Astyanax mexicanus: one gene and its partner. The protein of the gene in region 1 interacts with the protein of each later gene in a biochemical or structural test. Links are inferred from orthologs where the notes say so. Each region holds a gene or a part of one and is shown on either strand. Other genes may lie near its edges.

Region 1 (7,994 bases):
ACCCAACCTACCAATCACTAGTGATGCCCCAACACCAGGAGGGCGAAGACTAGCACATGCCCCTCCGATACATGTGAAGTCTGTGTTAGAGCTTTTAAAGGCAGATAATAAGAGAAAATGAGCTTTGGCTGTTCAGTGATTCAGTTTAGGAGCAGCACTTCCCTGCTGGGTTTAGTATTTAATTACGGTCAGTGGTTAATACTAATTACAACACACCTGATCCAAATAACCAACTAATTAACTAACTAACTAATCAACTAACTATCTGCCCTCACTGAGACCAGGGATGTTTCTTAATACACAAGTACACAAGTCTGTACTCCCGTACTTGGAAAGTACGGAAAGTGCGGACTCCCGAGGACGGGAGGAAGTGGGACGGTTGTTGTGTATTTGGAACAGCTGTGTACTTGATGACGTCACCCTCTTAGAGGAGCGGAAAGCGTTGTTCCGAAAACATGAGCACATTTTCACCTAGCCGCTTTCTTAACAAATAAACCACATATCTGAAGTTTAAACCCCTACATTCTCGCATTCTAAAAATAACTTAAAACATTGTTTTTGCACACAGCAGTACTGTCTTTAAAACGTACAGGTGCTTACAGTTATGTACCTTCTCCTCCTGCATTACGCTGATACTGCTGCGAGGTGCATTCTGGGTTATCAGGCTGTAAGAACACAAGTCCACACAAGTCACCTTCCATGCATCCTCGATAAAGTGGGAGGAGCAAGAACACATCCGGGTATTAGTTGTGTACTTGGCAAACTGCGATCTTCTGAATTGGAACAGTACTTGGGCTGCGACTGATGACGTTTCCCGAGTCCACAAGAACACAAGTACAGACAAAAACGCAGATTGAGAAACGGCCCAGCTGTGTGTTACAGCAGGAAACTAGAAACTCCAGAACCACAAAGCTAATCTAGCTCATCTAAGAACCATAGAGTCTAAAATACTTAACGTAAAAAGGCTTAATGTGGGTTTTAAAGGCGTCACATCAATGTCAAAAGTCGAGGGCCTAAAAATACAAGTCGGGGGCGCAAAAATACCAGGTGAAAAAAAATAACCAACGTTTTTTAACATTTTGCGTGTGTAAATTAACTTCTCGTGAGCACAAATGTGAAACTAGCAAAAAAAAGGGAACCGTGTGCGCGCTGAAGAAAATATTGCTCTCAAGCTTAATTTTTCTCTTCTCGGGTGCTTTTTTTTTCCTTGCGCAATGTGTGAATTACCTGCAGCAGCTCCTGAACTAAATCACTGAACAGCTAAAGCTCACTTTTTCTTATTATCTGCCTTTTAAATCTCTAACACAGAGGCTACACTGCTCAACATCACCATACTGAAAGTGTTTCACCTGTTTAAATGCTTTAATGTTCCTCTCTAAAGAATAATAATCCAAAATGCGATCCGGGCGGAGTTCGCTGGTGTAGTGCAGAATCGAGTCTTCTGCCACTCCCTGCAGCTGTGCTGTGACCTTAGTTAAGCATTAGCTTAAAGTTAGCATTTTTCTAATTACTACCCTTAAACGATCTCGAAATTTAGAGGATCCAGTGATGTTCAGGAGGTAAATGTAAAACATAATAAAATGTACAGGGTTCTGAACATATTTATTTACCACAGAATGTGGTAGAGGCAAGTTTTTACAAAAAAAAAGGATTGGACTTCAGTGGTCTATGAGCTGATTGGTTGAATCAGGTGTGTTTGTAAGAGGTAAAGCAATAAAATGATTAGGGCAGGGTGTGTCTGAACCAGGATTGAAAAACACTGATTTAGCTGGTCTATCAATACGATCAACCTGATTAAACCCCACAAACAAGTATGACCAAGCTTAAACATGCTAGTTAACCAACATGACCCTCCTCCCCACACTGGTAAACCAGCATGTGAAGCAAAGCCACGTTGGTCGTCCAAAATGACCAAGAAACTCAATGGTTAACCAACATAAGGCAGAGTTTTTTTTCAGGTCATTTTTTATTTTATTAGATTTCCTTCTTTAACACACGGACCTTAATAACGAGCTTTTAATTACCTGATCAGTTGGATCTAGTGTGTTGGGAACAGGTAAATCTCTAAAATTGGACCTCCCGGACCAAGAAATACAGGCAGAGGAGGACTCTCATGTCTTTTCTACAAGTTCACACTCCACACATGGCCTTATGCGCTACAGCGAGCTTGAATTAGTGAACAATCGACAAATCAGAAAACAGGATTTTTTGTTACCTGGTAAGATCAGAAACAGGTTTCGGCTGCAGGCACACAGGGACGAGCTGGAGATGGAAAAGAACCTCCAGGATCATCAATTAATATCCTATCATTGTTTTCATTTGTTTTATTTAGGCTCAACCACCGACGACAGATACCAACCCACTCATTAGCTAACGATTTATTAGCTAATAGATATAGGAATAAAAAGACTTAAAATGAATAAAAAATAAGATAGAATAAAAATATTTAAAACATTCTACTGCAGATTTAAAAAAAAATCTAACCACTGTATAATGTGTTGAGGTCTTTTTTATATAAAATAAATACACACTATAAATAAATAATTAAATAATAAAATATAAAATAAATATTTTATATTTTTTATCAGCACTGGACACTTTAAAATAGTCACTTTTGCTATTTTACAAAATTTATTTATTCATTAATTTATTATTAAAGTATGTACGTCTAAACATTAGATGAATTTAGGACTAGTGTTTTAGGACTTTTTAAATGAATAAATGCATATTTATTATTCTTTCATCTGCACTGGGCATTTTTTAAATAGTCATATTTGCTATTTTATTAACTAAATAAACCTATTAATATTTATTTATTCATTTTAAAAAGTCTAAACACCACATTAATATGTTTACACATTTACATACTTTTTAAATAAATGAATACATTAATAAATATTTATTTATTTAATTTTAATATTTAATTTAAATTGTGGACACTTAAAATAATCATGTTTACTATTTTTACTAACTAATATACTACATTAATTTATTTATTATAAAAAGTCTAAAAAAATTTTTAAAGACCTAAATGTAGTGTTTACATCTATTAAACATGGTGTGTGTTGGAGCACTTGCTCTCTGTAAATAGCTCCGTGATTCTGCTCGCTGCTTTTCCAGGTCATAAAGCTCTAAACTGAGCGCAGTCTGAGAGCTGAAGCAGTATAATATGAGTGTGAGTGTGAAGTGAGCTAGTAAAGAGGTGGATTGAATTGCTGAGATTTTAAAAAGAATTAAAAAATAAAATAGAATAAAATATAAAAAAAATGTTCGCTGCAGTTTTTTAAAAATATAACCACAATGTAAATGTGTTTAAGTCTCTTGAAAAATAGTTACAGTAATATATTCTAAAAATAAATAAATCCTTTTTTTTTTATCTGCACTGGACACTTAAAATATACACTTTTTAGACGCTATTTTACTAAATAAATATGCGTATTAATATTTATTTATTTGTTTAAATGTGTTTAGGTCTTTAAAAAAGTAAATATATATATATATATATATATATATATATATATATATATATATATATATATATAATAGATACATATATATATATATATATATATAATAGATACTTTAGCTATTTTACTAAATAAATGTATGTATTAATATATTTTATTTGTTTAAAAATGTTTAGGTCTTTAAAAACGTAAATATATATATTTTAAAAAAATTTAAATAGATAATTTAGCTATTTTACTAAATAAATATACGATAAATATAACATATTTTATTTGTTTAAATATGTTTAGGTCTTTAAAAAAGTATATATATATATATATATATATATATATATATATATATATATATATATATTTTTTTTTTTTTTTATAGAAACTTTTGCTATTTTACTAAATAAATATACGTATTCATATTTTTTATTTGTTTAAATGTGTTTAGATCTTTAAAAAAATATTTTTTAAATATTTTTCAAATAGACACTTTTGCTATTTTATTAATTAATGATTTTATTTATTTTTTAAAGTCTAAACAGTACATAAATGTGTTTTTTTAAGGATTTTTTAATGACTAAATAAATATTTAATATTTTTTCAGGAGGAGTGAGGAGTATGATGGGAGAAGAATCCGTGTATCATTCGTTCATTTGATATTCAATTGAGAATCAAAATCGGAAAATTAAAAAACCAATTCGTTTTTTCGTTTTTTCGTTTTTGAATATAATACCAAAAAACGAATAACGGCTTGTATTTTGTATTCTTATTTGGTTATCCAAACAAAAATTGGAAATTTAAAAAACGGACCAGGAGCCGAATTTGATTTTGATTTTGAACTTGACCCATTTGTGTGCCCTGGAAGTTACTGATTTGTTTATTCTTGGTGGGTTTCTGTTGCGCGGGAGTTCACTGCAGTGTTATCTACACAGTCTGTATTGCTGTAGGCAGCATGGCCGGACTGGAACCACATTCTGGCCTAATTAAAGATCTTTTTGAAGGTATTAACTAAATATGACATTTAGCTACGGAACGTTAGACAAACACCTGAAAGATCCTGCCGATTTTTTCTGTTGTCATATCGTCTTCTTTCACTGCAACGCGTTTAGTTCCTCTGAACAAGATAAAACTCTCCATCCTCAACTCCATCCAAAGCCTACAGCAATACAGACTGTGTAGATAACACTGCAGTGAACTCCCGCGCAACAGAAACCCACCAAGAATAAACAAATCAGTAACTTCCGGGGCACACAAATGGGTCAAGTTCAAAATCAAAATCAAATTCGGCTCCTGGTCCGTTTTTTAAATTTCCAATTTTTGTTTGGATAACCAAATAAAAATACAAAATACAAGCCGTTATTCGTTTTTTGGTATTATATTCAAAAACGAAAAAACGAAAAAACGAATTGGTTTTTTAATTTTCCGATTTTGATTCTCAATTGAATATCAAATGAACGAATGATACACGGATTGAGAAGGGTGGATTATATGGCTGAGATCTGAGTGTAATCCCTCCCTCTGTCTGAGCTCTGCGCTCCTGCTGAACTGCACCAGGAAGTCCTTCAGGCGGCTGGAGGATCAGAGAGCAGCACGCTGGATGTCTCAGACTGGAGCTCAGCGCTTATACACGCTGTTTACTTTCTCCACACCAGCTCAGACTGCGCTTTATGGAGCCGGAATATCGGTGAGTAGCTCTGCTGCTGCTGGACTTTATTAAAGCTGGGAGTTATTTACAGCGTGGCTGAAGCTGACTGAGTGTAATACACGACTTTAAAGCAGGGTTTACGACTAACTACGACTGCTGGACAGAGTGTACTGCTCTATCCAGTTGCTGTATCTTATTGTTTGTCTTGTTTCACTATTTTGTACGGAGCCCGGGAGGGGCCGTGGATAAAAAAAATAATAAAATCGAGTGAACGATGTAGCAGTTCGTGCTCACGTTTTCTTTAATTCGAGTGAACGATTTGCAATTCGTGCTCACGATTTCTTTAATTCGTGCTCACGATTTCTGTAATTCGTGCGCACGATTTCTGTAATTCGAGTGAACGATTTCTGTAATTCGTGCTCACGTTTTTATGCGCAATAAGACAAGAAGCTCGGAGGGAAAGGAGCATTTTCTCTCTTGATCTGTTACAGGGGTGCAGTAATGATAATCAGTTATCTACCTTTATAACCTGCTGTTATTAATGCACTAGTGTTACAGTTAGATGTACAGTACAGTGAGCAGATTTTGCCTGGTGGTGGAATCTCTACAGCGCGTGGGGGAGAGCCGTCCGCGGCATCGGTTCCCCCGCCGCCAGACACCTGCCCTGCGCGCAGGTCTTCACGGAGCTTATTTACCAACAATGTAGACAAATACAGTCAATTCCAGTCATGAATAAAGGAAACAAACATTTTACTGATGCAGGACAACTGTGTGTTATTAAAACCAGATCAAAACAAAGTTATAATGCAATGTGCAAATGTGTTTATTAATTTCTAAATAACATTCAGCCAGCCTCCAAGGAAATGCACACCTTCTTAAATCTGGTTACATCATTATTACTTTTATGATAGATTTAATCTATATTTTAATAATTTGTATAATAAATAAACACATAATTCAGAAAATATACATTTAAGAAGTTTATAATTATTATATTTTTTTTATTTGAAGCTTGTGGCATGTTTCTGGGCAGGACACTGTGATTTGAGAATAAGCAGATATTCAGGACATTTCATCAGATATAGAAACTTAATTATTTTAGGAAACATATTGGAATAAATTATCAAATTGATCCAAATTATTATATGAAATGCCTATTTACTAAATATCTTAATACATTGTATTAATAGTATTTTAGACCAGCTATTTTGATTTTATATAGTGTTACATATTTAAAGCAGCTCTTATATGAGCCATTCATAGACAACTGTCACACCTTGCATTAATTTTGTATTATCTTTATTAACTTTTACAGTGTACATTTGGACCTAAGTCTTATAGCTGTATATTTATATAATTATACTTCTTTACGTTATACTATTGTTGAAAATAAGAAATTATAAACAGTTCCACATTGCATTATAACTTTGTTTTGATCTGGTTTTAATAACACACAGTTATCCTGCATTAGTAATGTTTGTTTCCTTTAATCATGACTGGAATTGACTGTATTTGTCTACATTGTTGGTAAATAAGCTCCGTGAAGACCTGCGCGCGCGGCAGGTGTCTGGCGGCGGGGGAACCGATGCCGCGGACGGCTCTCCCCCACGCGCTGTAGAGATTCCACCACCAGGCAAAATCTGCTCACTGTACTGTACATCTAACTGTAACACTAGTGCATTAATAACAGCAGGTTATAAAGGTAGATAACTGATTATCATTACTGCACCCCTGTAACAGATCAAGAGAGAAAATGCTCCTTTCCCTCCGAGCTTCTTGTCTTATTGCGCATAAAAACGTGAGCACGAATTACAGAAATCGTTCACTCGAATTACAGAAATCGTGCGCACGAATTACAGAAATCGTGAGCACGAATTAAAGAAATCGTGAGCACGAATTGCAAATCGTTCACTCTAATTAAAGAAAACGTGAGCACGAACTGCTACATCGTTCACTCGATTTAATTGTTTTTTTTATCCACGGCCCCTCCCGGGCTCCGTAATTTTGCTGTTGTTTGTGTCTTTTTTCACACCTTTAGATATACACACACTTCACACCTAGCTCTATAGCTATTAAAGCAGAGATTGGTGGCTGCAGTATTTGAAGTACACCAGCCACAACCACACTGGGTTACAGTGAAGCTGTACTGTACTGTAGTACTAGCTAAACCAGTAGGACTGAAAGTGGCCTACGAAAACAACTGGAGGGTAAAAAAAAAAACCCAAAACAAATACTGTTTTTCCACCAAGCTTAATGTTGAACAAACAATTAATGCAGCTACATAGAACGTCCAGCATATACAGTTGTATGAAAAGGTTTGGGCACCCCTGATAATTTTTATGATTTTCCTTTATAAATCATTGGTTGTTCGAATCAGCAATTGCAGTTAAATATATCATATAGCGGGTGAACACAGTGATATTTAAGAAATGAAATGAAGTTTATAGGATTTACAGAAAGTGTGCAACAATCTTGGGCACCCCAACAGAAAAAAATACATCAATATTTAGTAGATTCTCCTTATGCAGAAAATGCAGCCTCTAAACTCTTCCTATAGCTTTTTTCAGTGAGAGTCTGGCTTCTGGTTGAAGGTATTTTGGATTATTCTTCTTTACAAAACATCTCCAGTTCAGTCAGGTTTGATCGTTTCTGATCATAAACAGCCCTCTTAAAAAATAAATCACACCACAGATTTTAATAATATTCAGGTCTGGGGACTGAGATGATTATTCCAGAACGTTGTACTTGTTCCTCTGCATGAATGCTTTAGTCGATTTTAAGCAGTGTTTAGTGTTTAGGGTCGTTGTCTTGTTGAAGTATCCAGCCCCGGCCCAACTTCAACTTTCTCACTGATGCCTGAACATTGAATGTCCTTGAAAAGCTACTTTATT
Region 2 (7,427 bases), about 17 Mb from region 1:
ATAATGCAAGGCCTACAAGAAAAGATTATTACATAGTTTAAAGTACATGTTTTTAATTCTTGATCATTTTTGTGAATAAATAAATCTCCATTAGTTAAAAGTTAACCTTAAAATTAACTGCCACAAGATCATCACTGGTTTAAAATAGGCCTCACAATTTTTGGATGATGTATTGTCCTAGAAATAATTTCAGTAGTGATGATTATTGTCAGTTTAATGGCATTTTAAAATTGTATACATTTTATAATTGTATATAAAAATTAATTTAAACAATACTTTTAGCATTCAGTGAACTTAGATTAGAAATGGAATATAAAATTGTTAATGTGCTCTTCTAGCTCTTCTGTCCATTTTTTCATAATTAGTCTAAACTTGTATGAATCTTCCTGTCAGAACTGTAGAGTATATAACTGATAAACATATATATTTTTTTTTTTTCATTTTTGTTTGTGTTTACACTGTAAAACCAAACCAGCTGATTAAACGAAAACATCACATCTTGAAACCATCCTTGTGTGGAAATGAGCTTCTCAGCTGGTTTTGTATGCATGAATTCGTATTGTTTTTATCTGCAGGCTCGTGCCAATGGTCTCCAGTCTTGTGTAATCATCATCCGTTTGCTCAGAGATCTCTGCCAGCGTGTGCCCACCTGGGGAAAGATGCCAGCCTGGGTGAGCGCTAAACCTTTATTCTACCTGCTTGCTTCGAATTTTGAATTGTGGGTATTGTAGTCTGCCATGTCTAGCATACAGCCATTCAGTGTAGAAACACGATGCACCGGTCTATTCACTAAAGCTGATGCACTCATTGTGGGCAGCAATATGCCGGTATTCTAGGTTTTAGAACTCTCTCTAGGTTTATAGTAACCTGTTGACACATACATAATGCATTTATGATAACAAGCAGTGGGACTCTACATATAACCACATCAACCATTAGTGAAACCAGCTTACAAAACAGTTTTGAGGCTAACCAGCTTCTGTTTGTAATAACCTAGAGAAGATGATCATCTCTCATTTTTCCTAAAACTCTTTGCAGGCCATGGAGCTGATGGTGGAGAAAGCTATCAGCAGCGCATCAGGTCCTCTGAGTCCAGGAGAGGCCATGCGGAGGGTTCTGGAGTGCATAGCAAGCGGAATCCTCCTTCAAGGTGTGAAACAATGTATAAAGCGGCCTTTATATTACTTAACTTAGGCTCGTAATTATAGAACTAACATATTTACTGAATATCATCATTAGTTGTTACATGATTAATAGTACTCAATAACTATGACTACATGCTGATTAATTTCAGTCACTCTTGATAATTTTATTCACTAGTCCAATTTTCTCCTTTCAGATGGTCCAGGCTTGTTTGACCCCTGTGAAAAAATCCAGACGGATGCGCTGGGGTGCATGACTAAACAAGCTAGAGAAGATGTAACTGCAAGCGCTCAGGTATTTGAAATGTTATCATCAGATCACTTTAATTTCTAGAAGAGTAAGAATGACCTATCTATGACTGTTCAGATGATTTTATTTTTAAACCTTCTTATCTTTGGATTTTAATCACTGAGCATCTTTATATTGTGTTTAAGAAGCTCTTCATATTTTGTTCAAAAATGTCTTGCACTATTACTCATCTGGAAATGTCCTGAACCTGTATAAAAGCAGATGATAAGCAGTGTATTTCTCTGTCTTTCAGCATGCTCTGCGGTTGTTAGCGTTTCGTCAGGTCCATAAAGTTTTGGGAATCGAATCTCTGCCAGCATCCAAGGCCAGTGCTCGAAACCGCAAAAGACGAAGAGATGGTACAGACATATGTGAGGGGGAAGGCGAAGGAAAGAAAGACAAAAAAGATGATTCACTAGATGCTTGAAATATACCAGAACTTACTGGCATCTTTATTATGTGTCATTATTTATTTTCTCTTAGAAATAATAAATGAATATGTGTCACTAAAATGGGCAAAAGTAACAGTCTTGACATTTCTGCAGTTTTAACGCAAAGGGCAAGAAATTAAGAAATGATCCCTCCCTTTCCTCTTTTTATTACTGCTGTACTAAGAATAGATTTAGGAAACGATGATGTTCAAAATAAAAAAATGCATTCCATGTTTGGTGTAGCAGAAAGCATCTAAATACTGCTACTATAAGATCACTGATCAGTGTGTAACACTGTTACTAACCTGATGTAGGCACATTTATTCAGTAATAGCACTTAAAACTAAAAGCTTTAACCACTTAAATAGAGGCCAGTTGCTTTATTTTTATTTTGATGTTTACACAAGACCTTAGATTATGGGTCCAGCCTAGCCTTACACTAAAAGTGTAAATACTTTTACGACTAGGCTTAATTTATGTGTTGGGAAAACCAATCCCTAATGTATATCACTGAAAAGAGATTTGAGTTTACATAGTCCGAAACTCAATCATAAGACGTATAGGACTTAATAAAACTCCACCGACAGCTTATAAAGTGAAAAAAGGTTCAATACTGTAAGAAATGTTCTCAAAAAGAGAAACAGTTTTGTCTAGTTGTTTGTGAAACAAACAACTAAGGTTGAAAATTAGAATACATTTGTTGGGGCAATACCAGTAAATTAATCAAGGGTTCATGTGATTTTTGTTTCAGTGGCAATTGTTTTTCTTTTTTCTCTTTTGCACATAAATATATCATATATTGTGAAGCTCTTAAAGTATGACTGAGGTAGAGGGGGTGTTCGTGTCATAGCAGCTTGTTTGTGATTTGTATGGAGGGGAGAAAGCAGATTTTACACACTTTTGTTCTGAAAGTGCGATGATGATGGTGAGGATGATGTTGATGATGATGTTACTGTTCTCTTCCTTGTGCCTGAAATTAAGGGAGTTCAAACGGGCAAATTAAAGTCTACTTGAAATGTGAAGAAGATGAGTGAATATTTTAGTTATTTCATACTGTGATAACATAATGCAATAGTTTTATTATTATTATTATTATTATTATTATCATTATTATTATTATTATATTTGAGGATGCAACATCCTGTGCATTTCTATATAAAGTATATTTTGTTCTGTTTTTTTTTTTTCTTTTTTTGACTTTAGTTTCACTGGTTTTATTGTGTTCTTTGATTATGGAGTGTTACAATCGTTTTTAGGAATGTTTAGTAGTGTTTATAATGGCGTGATTTATTTTTTAAATGTCTCTGTAGTGCTAAAAAGTATAATAAACTATCAGATCCACATAAAAAGTGTGAGTCTATTTATGTGTCTGGAAGGCTGTTTTCACTGTAGTTATAATATAATATACATATATTATGTCTATGGTTGTCACCCTGCTGTTAAAAAGTCTTAACCTGCCAAATACAGAGCAGGATGTGCAGCCAACAGTAGCCCAGAAGGAGGGTCTTAGTAGCCAATAGTAGCCAGCACCGTTTGTACGGTAGTAGCACAGGAGGTTGGTCAGCTCAGAGGTCACTAATAGGCGGACCCTGGTCCGGACCCAGACGTTTTCCAATGCGGACCCAAACCGATGAACTACTGAGAAGGATTTAATTCTGACATTGTACATTTAAAGCGACTGAGCGTTTCTGTCTTCTGTCGTGCTTTGTGGCGCAGTGAACTCGCAGACCAATCCCGTGTGTTGTAAGATCACCAAATGCTCTCCTCTGCCAATCAGATCTGTGCAGATGCAGGAGCGCGGAGCATGCACAGGCGAAAGCAGGCAGTGAGAAGTTGCAGTCGTAGGATAAAGCAAGAAAGGCTAATCAAGATGGTGCACCAGAAAAAGAAAGTAAAACACTACTGAATTAAATACCCCTGCTATAGCCAGTCACAGTGCGGGAAGACACATTTTGACGAATTGTGACAGGGAAAAGTGGTCGCAACTAAAAGGAAGATTTATAGGAATTAATTTTGTGAAAAACTGAATAGTAATAGTAAAGCTATTTAAATACGAGAAGACCAAAAAACTGTTACTTTCCCACACTGGTGCCCTGCTCTTTTCCTCACAAAATAAACTAACAATCGTTTTTAAGAATGTTTAGTAGTGTGTATAATGGCTTATTTATTTTTGTAAATGTCTCTGTAGTGCTAAAACGTATATTAAACACAAAAAAGTGTGAGTGTATTTGTGTGTCTGGAAGGTTGTTTTCACCCTTCTGCGTTAAAAAGTGCAGGACTCAACCTGCCAATCACAGCTCGGGAGGCGGAGCCTAGCAGCCAACAGTATCGCAGGAGGCGGACCCTAGTAGCAAGTAGACGTACAGGGGGCGGGGCCTAGTATCAACTAGAAGCGCAGGAGGCGGGCCCTAATAAGCCAACAGTAGCGCAGGAGGCGGAGCCTTGCAGCCAACAGTGGCTCTGTAGAGGCGGAGCCTGGAAGGCGGGCCCCAGAAGCAAGTAGGAGCGCAGGCGGCTGCTTGGCTGGTCCTAGTTAGCCAATCACACCGCGTGAAGGCGGGTTTGCCGAATTGTAAAAGGGTGAGTGTAGTCGCATCTTCCTCAAAACACTTCAACTCTTCCTGCAGTCGGTTATTCTGCTCCATTACTGACCTGACATCTTCCTGCAGCTCCGGTAAGTCAGACTAAACACTTAATCTTTAAACAATAAACCACAGCGAGACTAACTCAACACACCGTGTTACAAGAGGTTGGAAGGATATTGCTGATTCTGGCTTCAAGCTTTTCTAATGTAACCAATAATAGTAAAGTAATAATAGCCCACCAGCTGAGTATAGTATAATGATAAAGTTCAGCAAGTAATTTGTTAAGTGCTGCATATTACTTATAACATGTTGTTGCTATTGTTGTATAATAAAAATGGTAATCTTTACAGCCAACAATGATAAACACAAGCATAAGCCAACATCTAACAAAAAGAAAGGGAGAAGTATATCTAAAAGCTACATAAAATAAGTACTGAGTATATTATTCATATATATTATGGAAGTGAGCATAACTAGTATCTTTACATTTCTAATTCATTTCTTAATTTTACATTAAACTTGGTAAGTTTGTAAAATATTTTTTAGGGGCATAAACTAACCTCACAGTGAGGTGGCTGTACATTAGCCTCACTGTGACTTTAAAACATTGTATTACAGCAACTAAGAGAAACATGTAATGTTATATAAATACAAGAAGATGGACGAAACGTGTCACAACTGTTTACTTACAAAAACGTGTGATTTATATTTTACCCCCTGTTGCTTCCTGCACACTGGTGCTCTGCTCTTCTTCTCATATAATCAAAACAAGACTTTTTAAAAGTGGTCAAAAATTATATATTATAATAAATTTCAATACCTTGTTCTTGTTTGTATTTACTCTATAGGAAATCTGATGCTTCTGGCCAAGTTCAATTTTTCTGTTCATTTCTTCACTGGGGATGGCTGCGGTAAAGACACACACACTCTACAGTGGTTCTACTTTTTGTTACACTGCTTACTTCTGCAGTTGTGAATGAACTCTACTTTTTTATCCTTATAGAAAAGGTGGCAACCTGGTACGCAGTGTGTCGCCAAGTGTGACCACACCAAGCCTAAAGGGAATGAGATTGCCTATCTTAAAGGAGACATCCTTACAATTTTGGATGTTTTGGAAACGGTATGCTTTTGATTCCTTGTCACGTGGCTACGAACTTCCTCAACCTGTTTAGTGCAACCTTGCACCATAAGTGTTAAACCTATAGCTGGTATAAACTGCTGCTTGTCTGTAGATCGAACTGCTGCAGATGGTTATTACGACTCTTGCTTCTTTAAATTTAACGATATACCAACAAAATACTACAATATGTTTGTAATATTGCTTGTTCTGTTTGTAATCTACTATATTTATTAAAATACACATCATATTGAAGGTGAGCCAATTTATCAAAGTTATCCATGTTTTTTGAAGGCCTTAATTCATCTAAACAACTTTGACTGAATCATCCGAGATAGGTCAGGGTTTTTTATGACACAGTAAATCATTAAATTTAATGATTGCAGACTCTATTTAGAAGTGGTCTTCCAGATGTACTCTATTATAAAGCTGTAATGGCAGCTGAAGAAATACATTGTTATACATTGTTATTTTTACAGGGAAAGTCTATCTTCAGAGCCAGACACAACAGAACAGGTGAAGAGGGTGTACTTTCTGCTTCTAAAGTGCGAGAGCGGGAGGTCCTGCGTGTAGACCCCAACCTTAGCCTTATGCCGTAAGTCTGTAAATTTATAAATCTGTAAAAAAAATACTTGATTCTAGATCACCCACTAAATTTACTAGAGATGCACGAAAATAAACATTTCGGCCGAAACGGAAGACAATGAAATAGTTTGCCTGAAGGCCAAATACCAAATAATTAACACTAATTTTTCACCACTGCATGAATGAAATTGCCTTAATGTATTTTGTCTTGCCTTTAAATTAAATGATCTTTGTTCTTTATATCTTTTTTTTTGTCACGTTTTTTGTCTGAACTGCCATGTTCTGTAGAATAATTTTGGTTATCAAATATTCAGTGAATCCCCAATATGTACTCTGCAGAGTTGCCAATTTTTTCAGTAGACCACATAAACCAAACGGTATTTTATAGTAAGGGTTTGCCATATCTTATCGTACACAATATATCTTGACAGTATTTTTGGAATCTAAAAATCAATATGGTGATAATAGCAGTATTCTATATTAAAAGCATCTATTGTTTACTCTTAAACTTAAAATGTTATGCATCCATTAAAATGCATACTCTGCAGTGTTTCTTTCACATTGCCAAAAATATTATTCTAGCAAAAACAGCCTGAATCATTTGATATTATTTTAGGGCCACATTATCAATCCATACTTTGAATATGGCTACAGTATCTATTCACTTTATATGTACATCCACAAACCCATGCTGTGGTGGATCTACTGTGGCTCTGTTATAGAGGCATGAATAAAGTGCACCTACAATACAGTGCAAATAACACTGTTAGAGGAGCACAGAAGAACACAGTTAGAAGAACACAATTAGAAAAACTGTTTGGGTGCTGATCTTTTCTGTGAACTCCGGATAATGTATGAATTTGTTCAGGTTCACCAGCTTTACCTTATTGAAAGATTTCAGAAACTAGGTGTAGGATGGGAACTGGGAATACTGGCCTTCCTCCTGTATAGCACTAATAATGTCAGTGTTGTGGAATAAACTGATGCTTATTTTTATAAATGCCAAGGCTTACAATGGGCAGGTACAATGTCCTCAATATTCATAATATCACAGTTTGGTCCAGTTAGTGTAAGCAAGGCCAATGTAAGCCTTTAATCTACACTTAAAGACCATCATACCATATCCATAGCCATGGTTTAATTAATATAATTTATTGAAACCAGACTTGTTTGCACAAAAGTAACTGTAAGAGTGTGTGAATGTATGTGTGTGTGTGTGTGTGTGTGTGTGTAGGAGGGGGGTTTTACTTCCTGTCTGTATGCTGTGTTTGACATGTT

The links.
Region 2: the proteins of lrrk1 (region 1) and matk form a complex in vitro, tested with the Homo sapiens proteins (2 studies listed by BioGRID and IntAct, with this or other methods). The link is inferred for Astyanax mexicanus from reciprocal best matches to the Homo sapiens genes LRRK1 and MATK.

What each region holds. Positions count from the first base shown.
Region 1 is NC_064423.1:9,982,329-9,990,322, reverse strand, and holds the start of lrrk1 (leucine-rich repeat serine/threonine-protein kinase 1), read left to right. Parts: upstream 1-4,992; 5' UTR 4,993-5,142; intron 5,143-7,994.
Region 2 is NC_064423.1:27,338,681-27,346,107, forward strand, and holds the start of matk (megakaryocyte-associated tyrosine-protein kinase), read left to right. Parts: upstream 1-4,427; 5' UTR 4,428-4,536; intron 4,537-5,295; 5' UTR 5,296-5,349; coding exon 5,350-5,358; intron 5,359-5,450; coding exon 5,451-5,567; intron 5,568-6,043; coding exon 6,044-6,159; intron 6,160-7,427. Other genes in the region: zfr2 (zinc finger RNA-binding protein), read left to right, coding at 576-671, 1,039-1,150, 1,340-1,437, 1,685-1,858.